Oryzias latipes: one gene and its partners. The protein of the gene in region 2 interacts with the protein of the main gene of each other region in a biochemical or structural test. Links are inferred from orthologs where the notes say so. Each region holds a gene or a part of one and is shown on either strand. Other genes may lie near its edges.

Region 1 (4,165 bases), on a different chromosome or scaffold from region 2:
GGCAAAGCTAGGAATCCAGTTGATTGTTTTGGGTATTTTGGGTAACGTTTGATGGTAGTTCGGAGTTGTTATCAAAGCCCAGAATAACCAAAATCAAGCAAAAGGTTGGACTAACAAACAGGTGGGACAGGTTTTAGAACACACCCATTAATGAAATAAAATGGTGAGATCTCAGGATTTAATGATCACAGGTCAAAAACACTACATTACCTTTCAAGCTTAACTTTATTTTTGAATAGTAAAAAAACAAGCCTACGGCTTGACTAATTTCTATTAGTGAAAGGGGACCTACTTGTGTACCAACTACAAAGCCAACACTGTTTGTTAGAATCATCTCTAAATTAGCCTCTAACAAGAGCTCATTGGGACACGGAGTAAGGTTTCAGATCTTAAATCTGCATCCAATGATCAGACCTAGTAAGGAGGCAGGTAGGCATCCTTAAGTTTCTCAACTGTCCATTATTCCTCTTTTTCAGGTCCAGTTATTGCGATACCCCGAGCAGCCTCACCGCTTACCATCCCCCCTCCGAGTGCCACTCCAAGCCCCACCCCCACAATCCAAGCCCCTCCCACAGATGATAACGAGCCCGTCAGCGTCACTATCACAGTCAAGGCTACAGGCTCGTAGTGGTACCTGATGCTGACCATAGCTGAAGGGTCCAACAGCATTCTAAAAAAAAAAAAAAAAACCAACCCATCTGTTCACAGAGATTTCAGATATTAGCACTTTAAAAAAATAAAATTATTTAGCGCAGTCATTTCAAAACCTTATGGTCAGTGGGCGCTTGTTTCCCCCGCATTATTTATACGTTTCTTTTCAGCTGAAGTTTTTCCACAATAGGTTATGTCTGTGTTACGAAGGATGCAGCATACAGTTGGTCTGTCAGTCATTTATTCATCTCTTTGTAAAGCCTAATATTCATGTAATGTAATAAAAACATCTTAGTCTAAACACAAGCAGTCTGTCACTGTATAACCGAGTTTGTTCACTTTCAAACTAGAAATATTAAACAGGAACTTTGCACGATGACAGCGGAACTTTCACACACAACACGGAAATATGTACAGCGAAAGCCTGGAGTCCATTTGAAGCTGTTCACACCACAGGCAGTAAAATCTTCTGACTGTTGACAATGTCGCCCAGCTTCTGCTTGATTTTCACAAAGAGGCGCTTGAACTCCAAACCGTCACCCTAAAAAAAACACAAGGAAAACATGAATACCTGTTGGTCTATCCTTTACTGTAAGAGATTAACATTGAAGGTACTTTAAAAGGCCAAAGACAGGAAGCCTTTGTACAATAGACACGTCTTTTTAACATGATCTTGTGGCCTTTTTCTCATTATGGAGGACATATAGAAAAGACTTCAAGTTTAAAACAGCAATTCTGAGTATTTTTTTTTAATTAAAACTGTGGTGACTCAGTAGCAGATGAAAAAATGTCCTGAAAAAGCTCCCAGTTGTGACGTAGAAAATACGCTGGGTACAAGCTTCCTGCTCCGCTCCAATCTGATGCATCCACTTGCAGACAAATACATCCATGCACGTCTTTGTTTTCTTTCTCTGAGCTGGAATCTGGCTCTAGACTGTACCGCAGGATGGCTCCAATACTGCTCGAAATTTTGTTACACAGGTAATGTAAGGGAGTGTGAGCTAGGGGCTGTAAGCTAGTGGGAGTGCATTTTAAAGGGATGCTGGGAAATGGAGGTAGGCTTACTCTGAATCAACAGTTCCGCCCACAACTCGGAGGCAAATTTCTAATGAACGTCTGCTGCTCTGCAGAAACTTTGTCTTAGAAAACGACAGTTTTTGGATTTTGACTAAAAACGACATATTTATAATTAAAAGGATGACTGGGAACACTTTGACAATAGATCAAAAGATGATCAGAGTGGGACTATGGACTGTCCTCTGCAGTCATTTCTGATTTTTCCAGATCTTTACTCCCAAGTCAGACAAATACAATAAAATAAATAGAAATGTAAAACAATTTTTTTACTGGTTTGTTTTTACCTTTCAGCTTTTGTTGGTGGTCTTTTTATTATCTCATTAGTGAATGACAGTGACGATGATTTAGATTCATGGGGCAACTACAAAACAAAGCCTAAACCTACCTTAGACAGCCTGAAGTCCAGAAGCACTTTCTGGTTCAAATGCAGGAGCAGGACCTTAAAGACTAGCGGGTTGTTGCGTTTATCCAGCGTGTTCAGAGTTACCTGTAAGTATTGAGAAGAGATCGATGTTTCTTTCCACTTTTACTTAAAAAAAAAAACGTGGTCATCTACAAAAAATACAGCTTTACCTGTCTGCAGGTGAGTTTGAAACCGAGTGCAAGAGCATCACAGGTGTCTTTCAGCGCAGACAAAGTTGCATCAGCATCCACTGTGGTGAAGAAACGGGTCATTCTCCGAACTAATTTCTGCCACGGCGACTGTGGAACACAAAAAACTGAAGTTAGAACTGGGAGGAGGTGGCGATAGATGATAACAGACATCCAGAAAGAAGAAGAACCATCCCTGAAATTTAACCATCACCTGACTGGCTCCAGGCGTGGCCAGTAACTGACTACCCAGCAGCATGTGCTCAGGCTTGGTCGGCTGCGAGAAGCTGACTTGACCTTCGCTTTGCCCAAACACCAGCATGGCTTCCCAGCCGCCAGCGGCAAAATCAGGCTGAGAGCTGGACAGCTGCATCCTGTCGTCACTGCACAGAAGAGGAGCTTTAAGCACATGGGTCAACAAAAACACAAGGAGGAGGAGAAGGACACGTTTCAGACCTGCTAGCACGGAACATAAAATCCCTGTTGTTGTGAAGAACCTTGCTGCAGCCCGAGCTCAGACATCCTGAGGAGGCACAGATTCATTAATACATCATTATCCTGCCTTAAACCCATTTTACAGAACTTCTCAACAAACTACAAGCATATCAAAGGTCATTGTAAAATAATGACTTTTTCATTATATCTTTATCCAAGAATATTCCAACAGTGAAGGATCAAATCTTTGCAGCAGGTCTGTGTGGGACTGATGGTGCCTCTTGCCTTGTGTAAACCAGCGGTCTTTCTTTAGCTCTTCTCCAGTGATCCGGGTATTGGGATTGGGTTGCAGTAATTTGGACAACAAGCCTAAGGACATTAGAAGAATTATCATCCAACAAAGTCATTTCTGAATCTAAACTGAAGCACTTTTATTTTAAAGCAATCTGATACTAGGCTCCAACATTAGTCCAAACACAGAAGTGTCTTTTCCTTATCAAACATATTTCTCCAATGGCAGAACCTGATAGAACAAACACAATGAACTAAAAGAAAAGACAGAAATGTTGGAATAGAAGTCTAAGAAATCTCCACCAAAGGTAAGAAGCTTTTATGTTATAATGAGGTGGGAGTATGATTACGCGGGACCACATGTGAAGAGCAGTTGTTGGGAGAATGACATTAAAGATCAGGGGCCTCATTTATAAAACTTGATGCGTAGGATTTGTGTCAGAAGTGGCGTACGGATGAAACATAGGACGTGCGTACGCACAGAAATATCCGGATTTATAAAACCGTGCGCACGCACATCCTACGCATCTTTCCCTTAAAAAATCACAACCGATTCTAAATGCAGCGCAGCTTTTGCGGCTGCATGAAACGCCCATAGTTGCCCATAAATAGTCCGTGAAACGCCCACAAATGAATATTCATTGATTGCGAAACCATGGCAAATACAGAGAGGAAATCAAAAAAACGGAACTTCACTCAATGTGAAGTAGAAGTTATCGTTGGCGAGGTGGAAAAGAGGAAAAAAAGTGTTGTTCTGAGGGCACAGTGTGGGCATTACTAATGCCAAAAAGGCACGTGAGTGGCAAACGGTGGCAGACGCCGTTAATGCTGTAGCCTCACAACCTCGGACCGTGGCCGAAATAAAAAAGAAATGGTCGGACATCAAAGTCGAGGCAAAAAAACGTCTAGCGCTCCATCGCCTGAGTGTGTCTGCCACGTGGGGGGGAGACACCGGAGCTGACCCCTCTTGATGAGAGACTGGCGGCAATAATTGGGGAATCCCTATTAAGTGGAGAGTGCAGAGGTCCAACAGGACGGCTCGAGGAAGTCGGAACCGGCTCATAAGCCACTCGTCCTCGTTTGCCAGCAAGTCTTCTTGCTGTCTAAAGATGCGTTCGCT
Region 2 (5,510 bases):
TAAGATGAAAGAAAAACAACGCTACCTGAATAGCCTGACTATAGCCGGAGCGCAGCAGAGGGAGGAAGACTCCGGTGATGGCCACGTGGTCTCCGGGCTGGGCCAGACGCGTGTTCTCGCCGCGTGCATACACCGTCATGCTCCTGGGAATGTTGCCTACTGGCACTTGGTCACTCTGGAGAACGACAACTCGTAAGACAGTCGCTAAATACCAAGAAGCTGATTTCAGTGTTTGGAGCTTCGTACATGTTCCTGAATTCGCAGCTCCTGGAATTTTACGAATTTGGAGCCCCGGGTCTGCAGGTAGAGCCGCCCCCCAGATTTGTTGGTGACGCACTCTTGGCTGGGGCACATGATGAGCGGCATGAAGGAGGGAGACTGGATCTGTGGCAGAGATCGGGGGGTGGGGGGAGGTGAAGCTGTTGCTTGCTGGTTCGAATGTGACGCCAGTTTGGACGCGAGCTTACGGGTTGGTAGGTCTCGGCGCCGCACTGGTCACAGGTGTACGTCGCCACCGCCATCATCGGCTTGACCTCAGTGGCGCGGGTCACGATGCCCCGAACGGTGACCAGCTGACCGATGCTGTCGGCTCGGATGTCGCGCACCACTTTGGACTTGGAGGTGCTCGCAGGTTTAAAGTAGAGCTCGCTGTGGACGGGAGAAGCAGTTTTCAGAGCAGAATTCAGGCTGAAAGGACAAAAAATAAATAAATACTGGAATAAATCTGAACATCTACGTACAATCTCCTCATGAGTTCTGGTGGGTACTGGTTTCGGGAGTCTCTGGTATCTGCAGAGTCCTGCAGTCTTTGTTCCATCATCAGCCTGTGCTCAATGTACACATCCAGAGAGTCTTTAGCCACCACCTGAATTATTAAAACACATTCAGATTGATGGACCGGCTGATGGTTCGCTCAGTTGAGATAGAAACAGCATAAAAGAGCTCATCTTTATTCCGTTTGCTTCCACAATGTAGTCCTGACAGCAGAACGTCGTCAGTGTGGGGCGGTTTTAAAGACCCGCTATGATGGAAATTGTGTTTTGGGTGACATTGTTCTCATGATGGAGGACATATAGCTTAACATTGCACTTATTTATCAAAATTGTTGTGAATCAGAAGCAGATGGAAGACCACTCTGCAAAAGACTGTTATGTAGAAGCTATGCTGGCCACAAGCCCCCGCTCCTACCCTGCCCTAGGAAATGACATGGATTTCACCTAAAAACAACACAATCATAACTAAAAGACCACTGAAAATGCTTTTACAATAGAACCAAAACAACAATTACACGTTTCTTCTACCACAAAGCTATGTAAGATTGTCAAAAAACTACTAAAGATGACCACAATTCTGTTTGCAGACAAACTGCAATAATCCATGCAACAAGATAATAAGAACAACAACAACAAAAAATGTGCTAAAACGCACGTCTCTCTCTTTGTACTCTGGCAGCAGCTCGTGGACGGCGTCGGCAAACAGGCCCGTGTAGCGTTTGGCGTTTTCACTGATGCTCTCCACCAGCTCAGGGTCTTCTTCAGCCACGTCGTCCAGCTCCACAAAGAGGCCCACCTGCTCCCTGTGGGCCAAAGCCACCTATCCACAAACACACCAAAGCTATTAGAAAAACAAGCATGTTGACAAGCTGATGGGAAGGACTCAGTTGGTTGATTTAAAAAGCAGATTATGGTGGATAAACTGGAATAATAATGACAATGAGAAGAGAAAACAGGCGCTCTCTGAAACGCCTCCATCTGCCATAAATGCATGTGCTGTGCATTGGCTGTACTCACAAGTTGTGCTCCGTACTTGAACACCTTCTTCCCATTGCCGTCCTCTGTGTAAAACTCCTGCAGGAACCTTTTGCACTTTTCTGCAAAACACAAATCCCCGGTCTTAATAATACAAACAAAGGCGGTTTGAATGCTGTTGGCAAAAACAGTTTTATGCATTATATTCCTATAACAGAATGATTATCAATTTGAAGCTGCAGGCCTGCAAACTGGGAGCTAATTTGTTGTCCTGCGACGACCCTCTTTGTTGAGTAACATGGCATCCTGTAATCTCGATGAGTCACTATTGCCTACTGTAACACACAATTAGCCGCCGGAGCCCTGATGGAAGCTAGTTTTCGCACAGGTGCGCACATTAGCGCGATTTTCGGGTACACAACAAACGGGCTTCCTGGAGCGGATTTTCCTCAGAGCGCGTTGTAAATAAAACAACAACAAGCGCGCATTCACTTCGGCGCCCCTCTTTTTTGAAAACACTTCAACCCCAACTTCGGAAGCAGAACCGCGGAACTAACGGAATTAACAAACAAACAGCCTTTGTGTGGCGATAAAAACCATTTAACTTACTTGTAGGTAGCAACGGGAAAGCGCCAGTGTGGCTTTATTGCGTATCTGGTCGAGGATGTTATTGTAAACAAAGCAGCACATGGCTTTTGTGCCGCGTCACTTCATATCCCTCCGCGGCTCCTCCGCTCTTAAAAGCAGTCCATGCTGTTGTTTTCTAACCGCGGCCAGCCATCTTTTATCATTAGCTGCTGCTAGCAGGGTAGTGATTCGTACACGCCGCCCCGACCAAACGCATCTTTAATAGGATAAATAGCCCAGCGGTAAGGGGGGAGACGGCAAAAACTAGTCCCAAGGGGTGTTCTAAACATGCGCAAACCCGAAATATATTGATCCAAAAACGGTAACATAAATTATTTTTACCCGGGGACCATAAACTATCCATGTAACAGCATGAAAACTAGTTTGGCGCATAATAAGTACCGTTTACATACACTGAGAGGTGTTTGAGCACAATTTAGTTGCATCGTTTTTTGTGTTCTTGTGTGTGTTTTTTCCTGACTCTGCTTGTTGCCACACAAGTTTTTTAAAGGGTCTGTCAGTAGTTACGTTGTATAGATGTTCAAAACCCTGAGTCTGAAGTGTTAGCGTGTCTGTTTTCACGGAAGGGAACGGACTGCGCGGCTCTACAGCAGCAGCAGCAGCGCCGGCTGAGTCACCGCACGAAGCGCTAAATACAAAATGGCCCGTTCACGGACGCCACAACAGCTACGCAGCTAGCATGCTAACACTCAGGAAAAAGGCTGGAGTCTCTACTTTGGCCACACATTTGGACTCTGTGTACACGAACTACAAAACCTGTGATTTTGTGGTGTTTAAAAGCCTTTTCACCATAAAGGGAAATTGTAGAAGTTACCCAATCATGAAAAGCACTTTATTTATGCTGGTTAAAAATATACGTTCATATTTGTACGTAAAGATAAAGTTGTTGTTAAAGGCGGCAGACTGTTTATATACATTGTGAAATGTCAACTTTCTGCGGGCCACCATCGCAGGGCATGTGCGTTGAAGTTGAGTGTGGCGCCTGCTCCTTTGTTTAAGGCTCCATCCGGGTCACCGCGGAGTCACCAACTCCAACGAAGTACGACTCACCAACTTATTAGTAACCATCTTAGGAGTAGTTATGTCTTAACGGGTTACTCTAACACACCGTGCTGTAATGTAACCACGACAAATAGAAATTAAAAGTATAAAACTGGCATTACAGGTGAGATAAAGTAGTGTATGAGATAAAGTTCACTAATGAATGACATCATCAACACGTAAATCTTCATATGAAATGTTCAGCGACATGCAGCTTCACACGATTTGCTTTTCGTTTAAAGATATTTGTCAAAAAAGGAAATCCGGCCAACCTGTTGCTGCCATGCTGTTCTCCACAGACACACAAGTCCTTACCTTTCTCTGCCGCATAATCCTTTCGCGCCATGGCTGCAGGCGTTCAGCTCCGCGACAGATGATTCGTAACGCAACGCTACAAAGCCCAGATGAAGTCAAACGTAAAGCTTAAATAGATATTTTATTTTCTATTCTTGGAGTGCTGAACTCATTCACAAGCACCCAGCTCCTGTCGGTCGGAGAGCAAAAAGTGGCGCGAGTCTGACAATCGCATCAGCCAATAGTTTCGCGGCTTTCACAGAGGAGGGGCGGGATTTGATAGTGGCGGGAAAGTTGCTGGAGACAACGTCTCACGTGACTGGATAAACTTCCGCCCAGTTTGTCAGGAATGGCGCGAAATGTGACGATAAGATTTTGCATGAACAGACTGAACCTACAAGACAAAGGAGGTACAGGGCAAAATCCAACCCTAAACTACATTTTGTTTGATAGAAAAAAATGCAAAAGCAAACATGTTTATAGGTAATTTTTCTCATTGAATGTGTAAACAAAACTAGAGGTAAGAGATTTTTATGCAATCACTGGTATCTTTTTCAGCTCTGGTTAATGGCTCTATTATTTTTATGATCTGTCATGGTTGTTAAAGCATATAGTTGACTGCTTTATATGTTTAAATCATTCAAAACCTAACACATGTTTTCCCATCACACATATCAATCAGGGCCGATACCTGTGTTTTACAACATTTAATTTCATTTTGAAATACAAAATCAAAAATGATGAAACACCAAACACAACACTTTTGAATAAGAGTCTTAAAAAAATAAACAAAACTGTTTAACAAAACACATGTTGCCAACAATACAACATACTAAGAAGTCCTTGCACTTTCAGTTTATAAAAAAGCTGACAGGTTTCGAACATTACTTCCAATAAAATATAAACATTTCAACTTTTCAAAAATATTTCATCTTTTACAACAAACAAAAATATTTATAAACAAAGTTACAAAGGGCAACAGCTCTCAAACAGAAAAAGAAACCTTTTTTTTAAGTACTTTTTACTCCTGAAGCTCCAGAAGATCTGGCTGGAGGATCCCCGAAAGATTTCAGTCAAAGAGCTCATCCAGGACGCTGACGGAGGTGTGCCTTGTAGAAGGCTGAAAGAAAACACAACCAGAGGACGCTTTTAACTTCACAATCAAATAGTTCACAACCAAAACAGTTTGCGGAACACTAACCGTACAAACTGATTTACAGATCATTCCAACCGTCTCAACTTTGAACAAAAACTAAAGCTAGCTCACAACAGGATCTCTACTTCTTCTTTACAGACTCGCTCCAATGAAAATGGGGTTTCTGGTCTTTTTCACATGTTCTTTTCTGACTATAGAGGACATATTTATTGTGCCTTTTAACCAGAACCTGAAAGTAGCGGCACATTACTCCAGCTTGGAAATCTTTGCACTAGCTCCCAGTCGGCTTTAGGATCCATTTTAAGATGCTTTTATTACTTTTTCTAAAAGTTTCAATGAAACTGGACCTTCATTGTCATCAGGTCCTCAGGCGCAGGTCTGCTGGTGATCTCAGAGGTCAGTACGGCCAGACCACGTCACATTGTGAAGAAAAAAACTTACAACTCATCTTTGTAGCTTAGCCTTTACATAGTTTTAGCAGAATGAGTAGGTGTTTTTTTAGAACTATTTTTAGTATTTATATTTTATTATTTATATCGAAAGCACTTTGATGTGTTCCCTAGAAGGACAAATAATATCTAAATAAACTTGGATTTCAACATATTGACAAAATTAAGCTTAGT
Region 3 (5,366 bases), on a different chromosome or scaffold from region 2:
TTGGACCGATAATCCTGTTTTTGTTGCGTTTACCTCAAAATGTTCCTGAACTCCTGCAGTTTTTGTGAAATAAAAAAAAGCTTTTATTAGAGGTTCAGATAAAATGTGCCGTGACGTGTCGGTGAACATGGAGCTGTTGGTGGATGTGATGACAAAAGCACATCTTCAGAGGGTTCTTTCAAAGTCTAGCTAGGATGGTTTCCAGGTCAACCGAGTTCACTGCGATGCGTTCAGGTGCTCAGACTCACAGGCCCTTAAACAGGGGGTGCTGTAGTGCTTCAGCCGCAGAGATCCGGGTGTTTGGATTCAGGTCCAGCAGCCGGTCCAGTAGGTGGTAGGCTTCATCAGGAACCCTGTCCCAGTCCTCCACCTCCTCCTCAGCCTCCAGGTTTGGCTTCACGAGGCTTTCTGTGCGCTCACAGCTGCTCAGACTTTCCTGCTTCTGCAGACTCGGTTCTGCTGCGTCAGCGGGCCCACGCGCCGATGCTCCGTCCATTCTGTTCCGACAGGCGTCTGCCATCGCTGGTGGGACGCCTTCACCTGTGGAGGACCTCCTGCGTCCTCGCAGAGTCTCGCACAGAGTCCTGAGGTCCTGAGGGGGCAGCTCCTGGCTGCACACCACCGCTTTACCTGAAGGAAGGCCAAAAAAGGTCGACTTTAAAGACACCTCCCTCAAAAACACTTCCCGATTTCTGCACACTTTCAGTTTTTGGGTCAGTGTTTCCATCTGCCGTCTGGACCCGAACAGAATCAGAGACGACGCTTGAAATGAGGCACCGGACCTCACGGCCGTGTCTGAAAAGCAAGGAGGTTCTGCTGGAGCCCCTCCACTAGAGGATGGAGAAGATCAACACAAACCGAAGGTCTTGGCTGCCCGGATGGTCTCCCGGGAACCTCGGACTGTCATGATCTGAGCGAGCGCCGTCAGGTCATCGCCGGCCTTAAAAAACGGGTAGCGGCCGCTGAGGAGCGAGAGCAGGATGACGCCGGCCGACCACACGTCTATGGCTGCGGAGGACAGGCAGGTTACTTCAAATGCAGCGTCAGCCTGAGGAGCTGCACCAGGCCGAGGCTACCAACCTGTGCCTTGGTCGGGACACTTTGTCAGGACTTCAGGCGCTCTGAAGCCAGGAGTTCCAGCCCGCGGCGCCACCTGCTGCTTTCTTCAGAAAACATCGGATGAGAAAACATGACAAGTTATTGCAACAGAGGCAAAATTGTAGAAATGAAAATGAGATTTCAGCTGATAGAAACATTCTTTTACTGTTTTAATGAAGGATTGTAGATGATTGAAAGTTGAATCCCTGAATTTCCAGTCTGAATGTCATCTTCAGAAAACTTCAGACTGGAATGCAGCCCAATTCTAAGAGGACAGCAGTTTCCTGTTGGGACGTTTACCTGGACATGCAGATGTTGCAGACGCGGTCGGTCAGGAAGCAGTCGCAGGTGAGGCCCGGCTGGACGGCCCTCTGAGGTTTCTGGCTGCTGCTGCTGAGAGTCCGGCCTGCCGCTCGGCTCGCCGAGGAGAGCCTCCAGCTGAGCGCTTCCTGAAGGCACAGGAGTGAAAACGCTGCAGACGTCAAAGAAAAACATGGCAGCAGCTCTATCACAGGATTACCTCTGCTTTCCTGGCATCCGGCGCTGTGGTGGAGGGGGCAGGCGTGCAGCTGTTCAGGTTCCTCTCACCAAACACGGGTCGTGGAGTTCTGCGCAGCCCCCCCAGGTCCTAGAGACAGGAGTCAGAGCAGCAGGTTGGTGCAAGAACTCAGACGGGAGACGCGGACGAAGCCCAGCGACCACATTTCTGCAGAGGAGACACCTTTGACCGAGCCGTGTGAAGAGAGGAGGTGGGCAGGCGTGCTTTTTTCACCGGGGGTTTCTGCGAGGCCGGAGAGGACACAGGAGAAGAGGACGGTGGCAAAGCTCCCGTCTGCCGTGGAGGCGCAGGGAGTGAACCAGAGGTGGTTTTGGAAAAGGGTTTAGGAGGTGCTCGGCTCCTCTGTGGGGCAGACCCTCCACCTTTCTGCAGAGGCCTCGGTCTCACCACCTTCAGCAACTCGATTTTGGTGTCGGCTGTGCCCTGAGCTAGGCCGAAGTCCACCAGCGCGTACCTGCAGGAGAAAGAGGAGGTGGGACCACTGCTGTAGACGCCATCAATGCTCTGCGCCCACTTACACTCCGCTCCTCCGGTTGTACAGGAAGTTGTTGGGCTTGATGTCCCGGTGAATGATGCCAAACTGATGGATGTGTCGGAGCGCCTTCAGCAGGTGATAGACGTACAGACGGACCTCAGCGAAGCTCAGGGACCCGATGATTTCCTAACATTTGTATAGTCCAGTCAGAAAGAGAAACCAAAACCAGGTTTAAAGCTGCTGTCTGTGCAACGCACCACGAGAGCCCGATGCTCCATGTAGGGCATCACGATCACCACATGGTCATCCCTCCTGAAGCAGTAAGTCACTCCCATCACGTTCTCCCTCCCTCTGAAAGAAGTCAATCGCTTCAGTTTGCAGGAAGACAGTTCCAGCCAGACGAGGTAAAGGTGATGCAGAAGAAGCAAAAGGAAGTAAGGAGGTAGTTTCTTCAAATCTCAGACTATTTAAGAAGAAAGAGTTAAAAAAACACAAAAGGGAGCTGTTGCCGCACCCTGCTGCGGTCAGACACTGAAGCTCAGCAGCGATGCGTGTGGGGTGGCTGGTTGGGATGAGATGTTTCAGCGCAAACAGCTCCTTCCTGCCGTCCCGCATCCGTGCCTCGCCCAGGTACACCGAGCTGAACGTCCCTGACGAACACAGCGGGACAGAGATGCACGCTCAAAACAGGGCTGCCCCTCCAACATGAAGCTCCTGTTATCAAACCACATACCTTCTCCAATTTTGTCCAAGATGTTGAAAGCTGTGGCCAGCTGAGGAACAGCTTTGCAGAGATGTTCAATGTCCATCTGCACATCCTCTGAAAAACACAACGGGTCACACGCCTGACAGCAGAAGTGGAAAACTGCTGTTTTTACATAAATGTGTTTTAGGGGCCTATAGGGGCCTCAGTACATTTAACCACCGCTGGTTAAAATGATCCTAAATGCAGATTTAAACACTAAATATAAGGTCAAATTAATGCTTTTGCCTTCTGTTGCTTCAGCACATTTGGAATATAGTGATTTGAATACAGGTGGTTATTAACTGTGTGGTGAACCTCCTCCGTTTTCTAAACTAAACTATTACCGGATAAATCAGTGTCAACTAATTTTATGTAAACTATAACTTTTTCATCTTGAGAATCTGTAGAAAAATGTTCAAAGTAACGGTCAGAAACTTGAGGGCGCGCGCGCTGTCCCGTTCTGCGGACGTTTCAGCCGCGTGCGTGCGTGCCTGTCAATCACTCACTGGAGACTTTCCTCCTGTGAGCGCCGTCCTGGCTCCCAGGCCCGGTGGTGCTGGTTCCGTCAGTGCAGACCGCGGACGCGTCCATCTGACACCACAGCCTCCCACCTCCGCGTGCCACGGGTCAGATGAGCTTCCACAAGGCGGGAGCAGAACCTCCTCTACGTGGGGAAGAAGTCTCGGAAATGCAATGGCGTTCACAAACAAACTCACCTCTTTATCTGTAAAGAGCGAGGCTTTCGAGAAAACTTTTACACAAAGTAAAAAAACTTTAAAACACAAAAAAATTCTGAACGCCAGACACAGAACACAAACACCCCATACTTTCAACTATATGTATTTGTCTTGCGACCTTCCGGAAAGCTTCATCAACAAAAAGAAAACTACGCGCTAAAAGTGACGTCACCAGATCTCGCGATGTAACAGTTCCCGACACGTGACCAATGGACCATGTTCGTTCTACGGCAGTACATTATCCTTCCACATGGTGGCGCCACCGTGACTGTATTTTGGAGCCAGGAGAATCTTTTTTATTTTTTATTTTTTTAAGTATTCAGTCAACCACCAATTGTTCTAGTTCTCCCACTTAAAAAGATGAGAGGCCTGTAGTTTTCCTAATAGGTAAACATCAACTATTAGAGAGTAAATGAGAAAAAATTTATCAACAGAAGCAAAGGCTTTAACCCAGATAAACCAATAAATTATTCAGGAGTTTTATAGCTTTCTTATTATGCATTTTTATAGTGATTTCCATAAAACCAATTTTTTAAATACCAAACATTTTGGATTCTCTTTCAGAAAACAATATTTATAAATTAAAAAATCCTAGAAAACGAAATAGTTAAAAATAAACTGAATATATCTTCTTATTTTCATTTTCAAATTGAACGTTCAGGTATGTCAATGTTGGAATCGTGTTTGTTTGTTGAAAGCCACATTTATAAATACTTCCAGTCAACCTTAATCATATCACAATCACCAAAAAACATCTGCTTTTTAGGTTTCCTTTTCTTTTGCACACATGGTGCATAAATTATCTTGAAATTACATTTGATATGTAAAAATTCCTTACACCGAAAGATGTTAATTGTTTTGGAGGTTAGATGAGTTTTAATTTGGAAAATTTTGGGACAGAAATTCAACTTAGCTGTCTGGGTGTGTCTTAACCCTTGTGCTATCCTAGGCACTTTAACGTTGGGAGTTGGGTCATCTAGACCCACTAGACAGTGCTCTGAACCTTTTTTCTTCAATGATTTGTGATCTTCGCTGGTGTCCATGGATTACATGAAATCTTTCCACCTTTATCCACCTTTGTCATGGTAGGGAGAAAACGTCAATACAAGGGTGGGGTCATCTAAGATAGCACAAGGGTTAAATGTGCTCTATCATTTTATATCTGTAATAAAAAAACAGCAATTAACAGTTTGGGATTCGAGGTAAAATTGATGAATTTTGTACACTTGCTCTGATTAAATGAATTAACTTTGTCTTGTACATGAAACATCTCATGGATGCACTGGGACGCATCCTCAGTGATGTATCCTGAGGTCATCGGGTGTTTCGGGTCTCACAACATCATACACCCTCACCCAGGCGACCCAGCCGGGGTTGATCAGACCCCGACTTGCGTCCCAGCAGCAGACCACGGATCAGCCCTCTTCATCCACAGCCACCTCGTGGCCTTCTCTGCGGCTTCGCACACAGATTGAATGGCCCTCTTTTTGGCCGCCCCTGTGATACCTAAACGGCAGAGGACTTTACAAAGGGAACGTCCCGCAAAGCCTCTACAGCCAACTTCTACAGGCTCATAGAATGTTTTCCAGCCTCTTTCCCTGCACCCCTCAACCAGTTCCTGGTACTTAGCGCGTTTCCTCTCGTTTGCTTCCTCCATACGCTCTTCCCAGGGCACCGTGAGTTCCAGCATGATCAGATGTTTTGAAGTCTCCGAGATTAATAACATATCTGGGCGGAGATTTGTTCTCACAA

What was found.
Region 1: the proteins of mcm7 (region 2) and chek1 form a complex in vitro, tested with the Homo sapiens proteins (2 studies listed by BioGRID, with this or other methods). The link is inferred for Oryzias latipes from reciprocal best matches to the Homo sapiens genes MCM7 and CHEK1.
Region 3: of the proteins of mcm7 (region 2) and cdc7, one has a biochemical effect on the other in vitro, tested with the Homo sapiens proteins (2 studies listed by BioGRID). The link is inferred for Oryzias latipes from reciprocal best matches to the Homo sapiens genes MCM7 and CDC7.

The regions. Positions count from the first base shown.
Region 1 is NC_019872.2:13,130,702-13,134,866, forward strand, and holds the end of chek1 (serine/threonine-protein kinase Chk1), read right to left. Parts: intron 3,124-4,165; coding exon 3,040-3,123; intron 2,843-3,039; coding exon 2,776-2,842; intron 2,703-2,775; coding exon 2,534-2,702; intron 2,431-2,533; coding exon 2,302-2,430; intron 2,216-2,301; coding exon 2,114-2,215; intron 1,193-2,113; coding exon 1,097-1,192; 3' UTR 875-1,096; downstream 1-874. Other genes in the region: V-set and immunoglobulin domain-containing protein 10-like 2, read left to right, coding at 477-628. UniProt on the Homo sapiens protein: Serine/threonine-protein kinase which is required for checkpoint-mediated cell cycle arrest and activation of DNA repair in response to the presence of DNA damage or unreplicated DNA.
Region 2 is NC_019868.2:6,627,121-6,632,630, reverse strand, and holds the start of mcm7 (DNA replication licensing factor MCM7), read right to left. Parts: upstream 3,784-5,510; coding exon 3,753-3,783; intron 2,401-3,752; exon of another isoform or gene 2,358-2,400; intron 1,871-2,357; coding exon 1,791-1,870; intron 1,594-1,790; coding exon 1,429-1,593; intron 866-1,428; coding exon 741-865; intron 649-740; coding exon 468-648; intron 385-467; coding exon 247-384; intron 176-246; coding exon 26-175; intron 1-25. Other genes in the region: cohesin subunit SA-1, read right to left, coding at 4,801-4,851. UniProt on the Homo sapiens protein: Acts as a component of the MCM2-7 complex (MCM complex) which is the replicative helicase essential for 'once per cell cycle' DNA replication initiation and elongation in eukaryotic cells.
Region 3 is NC_019875.2:5,919,934-5,925,299, reverse strand, and holds the start of cdc7 (cell division cycle 7-related protein kinase), read right to left. Parts: upstream 3,776-5,366; 5' UTR 3,469-3,775; coding exon 3,384-3,468; intron 2,953-3,383; coding exon 2,866-2,952; intron 2,783-2,865; coding exon 2,647-2,782; intron 2,484-2,646; coding exon 2,390-2,483; intron 2,319-2,389; coding exon 2,176-2,318; intron 2,112-2,175; coding exon 1,820-2,111; intron 1,727-1,819; coding exon 1,619-1,726; intron 1,548-1,618; coding exon 1,399-1,547; intron 1,164-1,398; coding exon 1,081-1,163; intron 1,009-1,080; coding exon 859-1,008; intron 631-858; coding exon 245-630; 3' UTR 1-244. UniProt on the Homo sapiens protein: Kinase involved in initiation of DNA replication. Phosphorylates critical substrates that regulate the G1/S phase transition and initiation of DNA replication, such as MCM proteins and CLASPIN.